3 linked regions of the Sus scrofa genome follow. The protein of the gene in region 1 purifies or fractionates together with the protein of each later gene. This does not show direct contact. Links are inferred from orthologs where the notes say so. Each region holds a gene or a part of one and is shown on either strand. Other genes may lie near its edges. The genes, in order: UBR5, ATMIN and CEP78.

Region 1 (3,653 bases):
AGTAATTTACTCAGCCCAAGGTAGCAATGGTGCAGAGAATGAGAAACCCTGCTGTAAGCATATGTAAATAATTTTTGTATTTGAACTCAGCAAAACAACTATCACGAAACTACTTTGTTCTCTACAGGAACATGCATTATTTTAAAACCTATTTAAGCACTCTTAGAAATACCAAGTTTTCAGACTTGCCTGCAGGCGTGGATGTGCTGGAAGGGGCTGTGCTAGCTGCCCGCTGATGCTGGGTGTTTCGGACAGCCCACTGCATGGAACGGGGGGCCTGGGCGGCACCGTTGGCATGGGAGCTATTGGTGGTTCGCTCTAGTGGCTCATCAAGCATAAAAGTCTCTTGTTCTATGTCGTCACTCTGACTACTGCTGCTATCGGAATCACTTGAGTCATTTGATTGCGAATCGTCTTCGGAAAAGAAGGCAGGAACACTGCTCGCACCTAAATTTTTTTTATTTTTAAAACCAAAACTGTTGTGAATTTGACATTTAAAATTACAGTGTACCCCCTCATTCAGGAAAATACACGTATTAAATAGAATGGCAAGACTGCATCCAAGAGTCCACAAAACCCGTCATTAAAATAGTTGAACTAGAACTGTTTTGAATGAAACTTAAAAATATTATTATTTAAAAACCAGAAAAGCAAAAGAGAAAGAATCATTGAAATAATATTAACCTTCACTAATATCAACAAAGGGATGAAGTTATTAAAAGGGTTAGCCACCCTCGTGCATATCATACTGAGCACAGTCTAACCAATTCTACACCATAGCCTCAGTGTAAGCACGAAAGTTGCTAGGATAAGGACCTACCTGCTTCTGAGCCGGCAGTTGCTGCAGTGACAACACTTCTACGCCCACTAGCATTATCTTGATTGCTATGGTTACTTTCACTGTCACTTTCTGTTTCAGCTGCTGCTAACAAGTCCAGCTCCATGTCACTCCCTAGCAAATATAGTTAAATAATAAGGAAAAAAATGGTACAACTCATTGCGGATCAAGACAGGGTTTGATAAGCCAGAATATTATAAGGTTGGGAACTAGTGGCTCGGTGAGGGGATGGCGGGGGGTATCCAAGAGAAGTGATAAGTACCTGAGTAGCAGAAGAATAATGATTACGTAAACTATGGTACTCAGTGGACACAGATTCAAAGTCTGGCTTGTACAGCCTTATGCAATGTTAGGCAAGGGGACTTCAGCCAGTGGGCGGAGCTCTGGGTTAGGCCCGCCCCTCCATTTTCATTTGTTTTACATACTGGGATTCCAAGAGCAGAAGGGGGTTTAAAATATGTATCCTTTGTATTTCACAGTATACACACGTCAAAACAGATAAAATTATAAATTTTCCCAACATGTGTAGTTTATTCCATACATGTTGGTATGTCAATTCCACCTCCATAAAACTGATCCCGAAAAGTCTGTCCTACGGCTACTAGTAAGAATGGTTATGATGACTGCATAGCAAAAAGGCCAAAATGATAATCGTAACAGAATTTATACACCCTGTATCTAGGAGATGTGAGTGGGAATGGGGGCAATACAGGGAGGACTGAAAGTAATGACACAATGTGTTAGCATGTGGGTGGGATTGTGGGTCATAAGTTTTCCTTTTCTCTAATCTTCAAATACTATGTGGTTATGATTATTTTAGTTTCTGAAAGCCTTTTAAGAAAATAGAAAGTGTAAACCAAAAGGCAAAGGGAAAATGGGATAAATTATTTTGTACATGTAAATATATAAAAGCAAATAGATTTACATGCACGTATGTATACAGCTACCTTCTAAAATTCCGACAGATACTACAGAATCCCCTGGCAGAAAATACATTGAACATTTCATTATACATCAACTACAGCTCTTCTCTGTACTAAGACTTCTTAAGGGTACCTGACCTCTCATACTGAGGAATTTCTCAAATAACCTGCATACCGTCTTCATCATGCTCATCGTGCTGTCCCTCTGCCTCCGCATTTTCTTCCCCGTGTTCTTCCTGTTCGTCATGATGATCCTCTTCGCCAGCCACACCCTCCACCACCTCAACCTAAATCCAGATCTTATTTGTAGACAATCAAAGTACATAATAAACCCACATCTCTACCAGTAGTCCTCCAGAGCATTTAGTAAACTAAAATTCAAAGATGCCTAACTACAGGCAATTTGTAAGCAGTTCTGAAAATTTTCATTTGCTGGCGACAATCTGCTCTCAAATATTATGGTAGCATGTCCCAGTTTATGATTACGGTCCATACACAGAACCTTAAAATTAAAAGTACAACTGTGTGGGGGAGGGTATGCGTTTTTAAACTTTTGCAATTACAAAATTTACATAATAAACATGCAGATTCCTCTCCACCATCAAATACTTTGCACAAAAGTACTAAAATCTTTTACCACTGAGAATAGCTTTTCTGTGAACCCTCAAGTAGAACAAGTTTACCTTTCTAACTTATTATCCAATAAATCAAGGATTATTAAAAAATTTAAAGATGCATAATCACATATAAGAACATATAATAAAAGTCTAAAAGGTGGAAGCATAAACACGTAGCAGCCGTAAGCTCCTCGTAATAACACTTCTAGTGACTACTCTCCCCTTCCTTCCCAAATAAAAGCCTCATCTACCACAATCAAAACAATGAAACCACCTCTTCCACATCTGCTGAAACAATATCATCCTGTTCTTCATCTCTGCCCCGAACAGGCTGTGACTGGCTGATGCGCCTCTGCTGTGGATTCCGGATGATGTAGGACGACTGAGACGGGCTGGAGCTGTAAGGAATCAGGTCATGAGCATCCTGCTGCCACACACAGCTAGACCTTGACGCTTCCCAGTGTTACTCAGTGTGATTCACTGGCTAGGATGCTATTTTGAAACTTCTTGCAAACCGGCAATAATTAATCTACGGTCTATCCGAAAATATGAATCCCAGAGAAATTATTTGACCACAGAGATTTTTTAACTGATAAAACTCAGAATTATTTTTACTCTTTAGGAAGTCACTTCCGATTTGCGTTAGTGCACATACTTTTCTGAGTCCTTTCCACTACAATATTTCTTCAGGGAAGATTTTTTTCTTTTCTATTGCATTTAACACCAGTAGTCTTCAACTTTTGAAGGCTCCAAGAGCAGCATTTATCCACTAATGAGAAAGTGTGCTTCCTACCTTTAACAGACCTGACTACCATGACCTACTTTGCACCGGCTTATTAACCACTGACTTGCTGATGGGTGTGGGGAAGAAAAGAAGTTCAAAAGTATGATTTTAAAATAGAATCGTAACAAAAGATGGGGTGCCTAAATTGTTGTACTCCCCTAAAAATTGGACTCGGGAACAGCCAAGAAAGGACAGATTCCTCCAATATAAAACAAAAGGAAGAACCAGAGAACGCAGTTTAAAATGAAGGTCAGAGATCAGAAGATGGTTGTAAAACAACCCTGTGACCTCTTATTCTTTGTTTACAAATTAAGAAACAGACCAAAAGACGTTAAAGGATCTTTAAGAGTTGACACTGACAGTGTTCTTGCCTCACCTCGGCTGCTCTGAAAAATCAGAATTAAACTAGTTACACGTAAAAAGTCAACTTAGCCACTCTGTTTTCAAATTAATAGAGTATTAGTCTCAACTGCTGTTTAATATTAGAAATG
Region 2 (3,753 bases), on another chromosome or scaffold:
TAAGACTGTTGAATCACTGCGTAACCAACCAACCCCTAGGCCAGACACTCAAGAACTAGAAACCTCAGAAATAAAGCTGGCGGCTTCTTTCGAAGACTCTTGCAGCACTAATGCCAGAAAGCAGACTCTGACACCACCTCCAAGGTATCCTCAGAAGTTGCTTTTACCAAAGCCCAAAGTGGCCTTGGTAAAACTCCCCGTTATGCAGTTTTCTCCTGTGCCTGTCTTTGTGCCTACGGCAGACTCCTCAGCCCAGCCTGTGGTGTTGGGTGTCGATCAGCAGGGCGCTGCCCCCAGTGCTGTGCACTTACTGCCCTTGTCCATAGGGACCCTGATCCTCGGCCTGGATTCAGAGGCCTGCTCTCTCAAGGAGAGCCTCCCTCTTTCAAAAATTGTAAATCCTGTTGCTGTTGAGCCAGTTAGCACAGGTGTTCAAGTGAACTTGGGTAAAAGTCCATCGAACCCTTTACAAGAACTAGGGAGCCCCTGTCAGAAGAACAGCATCTCTTCAATCAACGTACAGACAGATCTGTCTTACACCACACAACCCTTTATACCTTCTCCGCAGTGGGCTAGCCCTGATTCCTCTGTATCGTCTTGTTCTCAAACTGATTTGACGTTTGGCTCTCAAGTTTCCCTTCCCATTAGTGTTCATACGCAGACTTTTTTGCCCAGTTCTAAGGTGACCTCATCTATAGCTGCTCAGACTGATGGGTTTATAGAGGCCTGTTTCCAGCCGGGTGGGATCTCCAGAGAAACTCAAACCAGTGGAATGCAAAGCCCGGCAGATGCTCGAGAACAGATGGACCAAGCTGTAATGTGTGGAGACATTTTTGAGAGTGTCCATTCATCATATGGTGTTTCTGCAGACAATATTATAAGCAGCAGCCTAGTAGCAGAGACTGTAACTCATGGTTTGTTACCTCAGAACCACCCCAAAATTTTGAGTCAAGATATTGAGAAATCTGCACCAATTATAAACTTTAGCACACAGAATAGTTTGCTTCCTTCACAGAACATGACAGATAATCAGACCCAAACCATAGATTTACTAAGCGACCTAGAAAACATCCTGTCAAGTAATCTGCCTGCCCAGACATTGGACAATCGTGGTCTTTTGTCTGACGCAAATACTGGACCTGACACCCAGCTCCCATCTGGCCCAGCCCAGAATCCTGCAATTGATTTTGATATCGAAGAGTTCTTTTCAGCTTCAAATATCCAGACCCAAACTGAGGAGAGTGAGCTTAGCACCATGACCACTGAGCCAGTCTTGGAGTCGCTGGACATAGAGACCCAAACTGACTTCTTGCTGGCAGACACCTCTGCCCAGTCCTACACTTGTCGGGGAAACTCTAACTTCTTAGGCCTTGAAATGTTTGACACACAGACACAGACGGACTTGAACTTCTTTTTAGACAGTAGCCCTCATCTGCCTCTGGGAAGTATTCTGAAACACTCCAGCTTCTCCATGAGTACCGATTCGTCTGACACAGAGACCCAGACTGAAGGAATCTCTGCTGCTAAAAACATCCCTGCTCTGGAAAGCAAAGTGCAGTTGAACAGCGCAGAAACACAAACCATGAATTCTGGCTTTGAGACTTTGGGGAGCTTATTCTTCACCAGCAATGAAACGCAGACAGCAATGGATGACTTTCTTCTGGCCGATTTGGCCTGGAACACGATGGAATCTCAGTTCAGCTCTGTAGAAACCCAGACGTGTGCAGAACTGCACCCGGTCTCCAACTTCTAAGGGTGGAGTCGGCGTGGGGACTGGCATTTGCACCTCCCCTCTGGCTTTAGGGAGGGAGAAGGGGGACAGCAGTATTAACTCTACTGAATGTAGTTGATGATCCAGTTACTTCGATTCTTTGAGGTTCTTTGCCTTTTGTACTTGTAAACATGAAATTTGTGTAAAAACCTGTGAGTATTATAAAGTGTAAGATGTTGATCTCAAAATGATTGTTTTTGTGTCGCCTACATTTGCCCTTTCAGTGTAGTCTTCCCTTCTTTTAAAAAAAAATGTATTTCATACCTTTAAAACCCATCTAGCTGTTCAGCTGAAGCCAAGCTCACCAGGACTAGGGTACAAACTTTTCAAATCTTCAAAACATTGTAGTTCAAAGTATGACTTAAATTGCACCTAAAATATTTTTTGCCAGTGCTTGTTAGAAATTCCTGTTTCACGGTAATACCTAAAGATATCTGATGCTGCACCATCAGATTGAAACACCAGCGCTTAGATGGTTTGAGACTCGTGTCGCCTGCAGCTTCATCTGCTGTGCCATCTTACTCTTCCCCAGTTTGAAGACAAAAGGAAAGCTCCAGTTGTCTTTAGCGCCTGCCAGTTTTCCTCTAGTCAGTGCCATCCTTCCTCTACATGCACCGTTACCGATGCCGCTGTACGTATATAGTACTTTCCTCACAGGAGGTGTCGCTGTAAAATATTTGCTTCAGGAAGTAGCGGCAAGCACTTAGTATAAACAGCGATCTTTCTAGTCTGAACGACAGTACGTCACCGCACTGTGGCAAGGCTGGGCCTCGGGACCATGCCCGTTGGCTCTCACTGGAGTGTGCCCTACGAGCGCCCTCCTCTTCCTCCCACAGTCGGCCGACCAGTGACTCCGAGTGTGGTCACTCTAAATGTTAAGAGGAAAAAATGTCTGGAGAAAAGGACATTCCCCGCTAAATTTCAGTACTTGGCGTGAACCTGACAGGGCAGGAGTGCAGTCGACAGTTGTGTCAAAGTGAATCTTGTCATCCACCTCTCACTTTTTCCTTGAGTGAGGAAACACACTGGTCTCGCAAGGACAGTGTTTGTGCCTTGAGGATAGCAGTTAGAGTCTAGAGCCGTCTAAGCTATGGCGTTTTGCATTTTGTCGTTCCAAGGGGGGAATACCATCCAAGAAAGTGAGGTGAAGACTGACGGCTTCGGTAATCAAGAACATGTGTGTTTTGAGATGGATGTGTGATCAGGTCTGCTTTGGGGGGTTATTTAGGACATCCTGAGTTCTCGATTGTTGGCCAACTTCCAGGCAAGTAGAAATCAGTGAAGCCTGTAAACTTTTCTAAGTTTATCGCAAAAAAAATGCTGTGTTCCTTCTGTGGCATGTGCTTCGCTGCTGAAGGCTAAATCCTCAAAAGAAATAAAACGAAGGAGGGGACTAAGAATTCGTTAAAGTAAATCAGTGGTGTTGCTACTAATTCCTGTCCTCAAGAATTGTGGGTACTGGATAAGTGACATCTCCTGCACAGACGAACTCAACCTGGTAGATGAAAGCTTGCTTTGGTCACAGTTGCCTACGAATATGGGTTTCCAAACAAACATAAAGCCTTAACTTAGAATTTCATTATGTTTTAGAATCATCACTGCCTTAATGTTCAAACATCTATTTAAGTTCTCCTGCTAAAGGAGAAATGCATGTTTGTTGATGGCTTTTTGTAAATAGATACGCAGCGATCTATGGCTTTAAATTTCTTGTGTGTTTCTGTGACATTGTTTGTTAATCCAGCCTATTGAGTTATTTACAGAAAAATGGAGCATGTAATATTCATGTACAAGTAAGAACTGTCTCCCCAAACCTTAGTTACCTGAATTGTTCTAAGATTATTTGTAAAAGCTGAAACTCAGTGATTAAAAAGTGAGAATTCTACCCATTTTTGCGAATTCTTCAACATACTCATAATGTGACTGACTTTGTGGCCTTAACGTTTCATAAACTGATCATGTTCTGAAAGTTACATGATGAAATG
Region 3 (3,653 bases), on another chromosome or scaffold:
GAAAAAATATTAGAAACTCTTTATCATTTGAAAAATATCTGTGTAGGAGTTCCCTCTGTGGTACAGTGGGTTAAGAGTCCAACTGCAGCGGCTCGGGTCACTGTAGAGGCACAGGTTTGATCACTGGTCTGGCACAGTGAGTTAAAGGATCCAGAGTTGCCACAGCTGTGGTATAGGTTGCAGCTGCTGCTTGGATTTTATCCCTGGCCCCAGGAACTTCATATACCATGGGTGTGGCGTAAAAAACTTTTTCTAAAATAAAAAATATTTGTGTAGTTTACAGTGTACATAAAGCATATGTATAGAATTTCATTTATATAACTTATTAATAAATAAGATACATGTTAAAATGTTTACTTGTGGGATACCCAGCCAAGTGTTTGGAGACCGTTGGAGGACAGAATAATAAAATTTAGAGCCTCAGTAATAAAATTTAGAGCTAATTCCCTGATTTGGCAGATTAAGAAAATAAAATTCATGGACTAATTGAGTTGTCAAAGTTTACGTAACTAATCAAAAACAGGTCCTCCAGTGGCTAGAGTCTGATCATTGGCAGACTGGAATTTGGGTCACTAGGCTCCTAAGCCAGAATTGACTGTTTTAATTTCTCAGGTTGACTCTCCTGGCATATATACTTGGAATGTGTATATTAGTCTCTGTCTGACATAAGAAGCAATAGTCAGTAGGCATACTCTTTTTCCCTCTTCAAGCATCTTAATTTCATCCTATTAAATCTTTGAAGTATCAGACCATCAGAAGGCATGAAGAAACATGGGCTGAGAGTCTTCGTTACAGGAGACCTGATCTTGACTGTATGGCTGGTTTGAGGCGAATCACCCTGAACTGCAACACGCTCATTGGTGACCTTGGTGCAAGTGCTTTTGCAGAATCTCTTAGTGAGGATTTATGGCTTAGAGGTAAATTCTAAAATTGAAAATATTGAATATAATAAATATGCTTAAGTTTTGGCATGATGCTGTTATCATAGGATTTTTTTCAAAGCCTCATTTTTCCAGTGGCCTTCATTTTGCTTTTATCTACTAATTGCATATATTCTTTATAGAAAACAGAGAGTAACAAGAAAACAGTTACCTATAATCTTAATACCCAGACATAATCACTGTTCACTTCGGTGTATATATTTTCAGCCTTTTTTTTCCTGTAACTATATTTGTACACTTAGGGATTATGAAAAAAGAATTGTAGTGTACTTAATATTTCATATCTCTGCTTTTTTCCTTTAATGATGTTATATAGTATTCCATTGTATCAATGTCCTGTAGTTTAATCAGATCTTTGCAGCTTGCTTTTCCCTGTCAGAAAACAATGTGAATACATTATATATACATCTCTGTCCGTAGGGATTAATTCTATAGAATAAGTTACTGTAAGTGGAATTACTAGTGTGATATACTTTTTCTTTTTTGGCTGGACTGCCACCCAGGCTGTTGCAGTGACAATGCCAGATCCTTAACCTGCTGAGCCACAAAGGAGCTCCCATAAGTGTGATAGACTTTTAAGACATTTGATACATGTTGCCAAATTGCCGTCCAGAAATGCCATGCCAGTTTATAGTCTATCCCAACAGCGTATGTGAGGCCTGAGCCCTCACAGACACTGGTTTATGGCACTTTCAAATACTGGAAAACTGCAAAAATGAGTACCTCCACCTTTTTTATGCAAGCAAGATTACTCCAAATTTTATAACTTTTTCAATTAATACAGTATGAGCATCTTAACAAGTCAATAAATTTATATCTACTACATCATTTTTAGTGACTGTTCAGTGTTCCATTGTATGAATATGCCATAGTACGCTTAGCTTAGCCATTCTAAATAAGCTAAGTCCAGTTATAAACAGTGCTCTGATACACATCCTTGTCTACATCTCTGATCATTTCTTTTGGCTGAATTTTTAGAGAGTTGTGGATCAAAAGGATGTATGTGGGAGTTCCCATTGTGGCACACTGGAAACGAATCTGAGGATGAGGGTTCAATTCCTGGTCTTGCTCAGTGGGTCGGGGATCTGGTGTTGCCCATGACCTGTGGTATAGGCCACAGATTTGGCTCAGATCCTGCATTACTGTGGCTGTGGTGTAGGCCAGCATCTGTAGTTCCGATTTGACCCCTAGCCTGGGAATTTCCATGTGGCTTGGGTGTGGCCCTAAAAAAGCAAAAGGGTATATGCATTTTTAAGGCTTTTGTTACGTAGTCTTGGCGTAATCTGATAGAATAAGCACATTTTATTATATTTTGTATTCATTTGATTAATTATTAAGATTTACTGGCTCGTTTTCTTTAATTTGGTTGTTTGGTTAATTATATCCTATGTCCATTCTTCTGTAGTGAAAGTTTTAAGTTTTGTAAAATGTTCTGTCAGAAATCTACATCTGACTTGCTATCCTGTATGTCATGGGGTTTTGAAAGACTCTGGTTATTTTAATGTAATAGTATATACAACACTTTTTAAAAAAGACTTGCAGTCATTTCCTTTTATGTAATAATTTTTATACCTGTGTTTTTGTGATGATCCCTTTAGTTTAAACAAGTAGCTTGTTCAGCCCCCAAACTAGTAGAATTCATGATCATTTGTTCTGTTTTTTGGCCTGATCTTTCTTTTTCCTTTCAAAACTTTATAAGCCTTTGTTTTAATTTTTTATTATTTTTTGATTTTTTGGCTGCGACAGTGGCTTAATATGGGATCTCAGTTCCCAGACCAGAGATTGGCTGCAGGAGTAAACCACCAGAGGACTCCCTGTCTAACCTTTTCTGGAAAGAGTCCTTGACCATCATTCTGTCATGATAGGTTTTTAGCATATATTCTCTCTTCACACATTCTTTGGATTGGTATCCTCTTGACTTCTTCGTCTTTTTTGTTCTAAAACTAAAAGCTATTGTGTTTCTTCTATTTTGTTTTCCTCTTTTAACTAGTTTCAAGAGTAGTTTGGAGCTCTAGATCATGATCAAAAGAATACAGTGCAATTTCTGAGGTCTATCATTTTTGCCTGCGAGGTGTACACTGCTACTCCCACCCTTGCTAATTATGTAGTGAGATTGATTTTGTGATGTTTTTCACTCATAGGATATATGAAGTTATTCTTCAGTTCTGTAACTAAAATATGTGGGTGATTTATTAGTACTAAAGGGAGGGTAATCATGAATTCAAGAATAGTTTTTCAATTGGGTTTTGCATTATGTTATGCATGTGCTTTTCTCTTTTTTTCAATATCCGAAAATTAAAAAGCCTGCCGTATTTGGTCTTGTGCAAGACTCTTCCACATTTGAATAAGTGAGCATTGTCTATCTGTATAGATCTGTATAGAGTTAGCAAGTAACGTTTTATCTCTCATCTAAAGCCCTTGACCTGCAGCAGTGTGGCCTCACCAATGAAGGAGCAAAGGCTTTGTTAAAGGCCCTTGAAACAAATAGAACTCTGGTTGTTCTGGATATAAGAAAAAATCCTCTTGTTGGTATGTGGTCTCTCTTTTTTTTCTATTGATTAACAAATAACAAACAAAAAGAATCTGTTCATGTGTTGACAATTTTTAAAGCCTAATGTGCTTAATTTTCCTAACTTAATACACTTGATCCTTGAACCACATGGGGGTTAGGGTGCTGCCCCCCAGACGGTTGAAAATCCAGGTATAACTTCA

The links.
Region 2: the proteins of UBR5 (region 1) and ATMIN purify together in Homo sapiens (affinity purification with western blotting; 3 studies listed by BioGRID). This does not show direct contact. The link is inferred for Sus scrofa from reciprocal best matches to the Homo sapiens genes UBR5 and ATMIN.
Region 3: the proteins of UBR5 (region 1) and CEP78 purify together in Homo sapiens (affinity purification with western blotting; 3 studies listed by BioGRID, with this or other methods). This does not show direct contact. The link is inferred for Sus scrofa from reciprocal best matches to the Homo sapiens genes UBR5 and CEP78.

What each region holds. Positions count from the first base shown.
Region 1 is NC_010446.5:34,761,074-34,764,726, reverse strand, and holds part of UBR5 (E3 ubiquitin-protein ligase UBR5), read right to left. Parts: intron 2,777-3,653; coding exon 2,653-2,776; intron 2,049-2,652; coding exon 1,937-2,048; intron 953-1,936; coding exon 821-952; intron 448-820; coding exon 190-447; intron 1-189. UniProt on the Homo sapiens protein: E3 ubiquitin-protein ligase involved in different protein quality control pathways in the cytoplasm and nucleus. Mainly acts as a ubiquitin chain elongator that extends pre-ubiquitinated substrates.
Region 2 is NC_010448.4:7,209,512-7,213,264, reverse strand, and holds the end of ATMIN (ATM interactor), read left to right. Parts: coding exon 1-1,753; 3' UTR 1,754-3,753. UniProt on the Homo sapiens protein: Transcription factor. Plays a crucial role in cell survival and RAD51 foci formation in response to methylating DNA damage. Involved in regulating the activity of ATM in the absence of DNA damage. May play a role in stabilizing ATM.
Region 3 is NC_010443.5:231,087,560-231,091,212, forward strand, and holds part of CEP78 (centrosomal protein of 78 kDa), read left to right. Parts: intron 1-742; coding exon 743-917; intron 918-3,356; coding exon 3,357-3,470; intron 3,471-3,653. UniProt on the Homo sapiens protein: Centriole wall protein that localizes to mature centrioles and regulates centriole and cilia biogenesis. Involved in centrosome duplication: required for efficient PLK4 centrosomal localization and PLK4-induced overduplication of centrioles.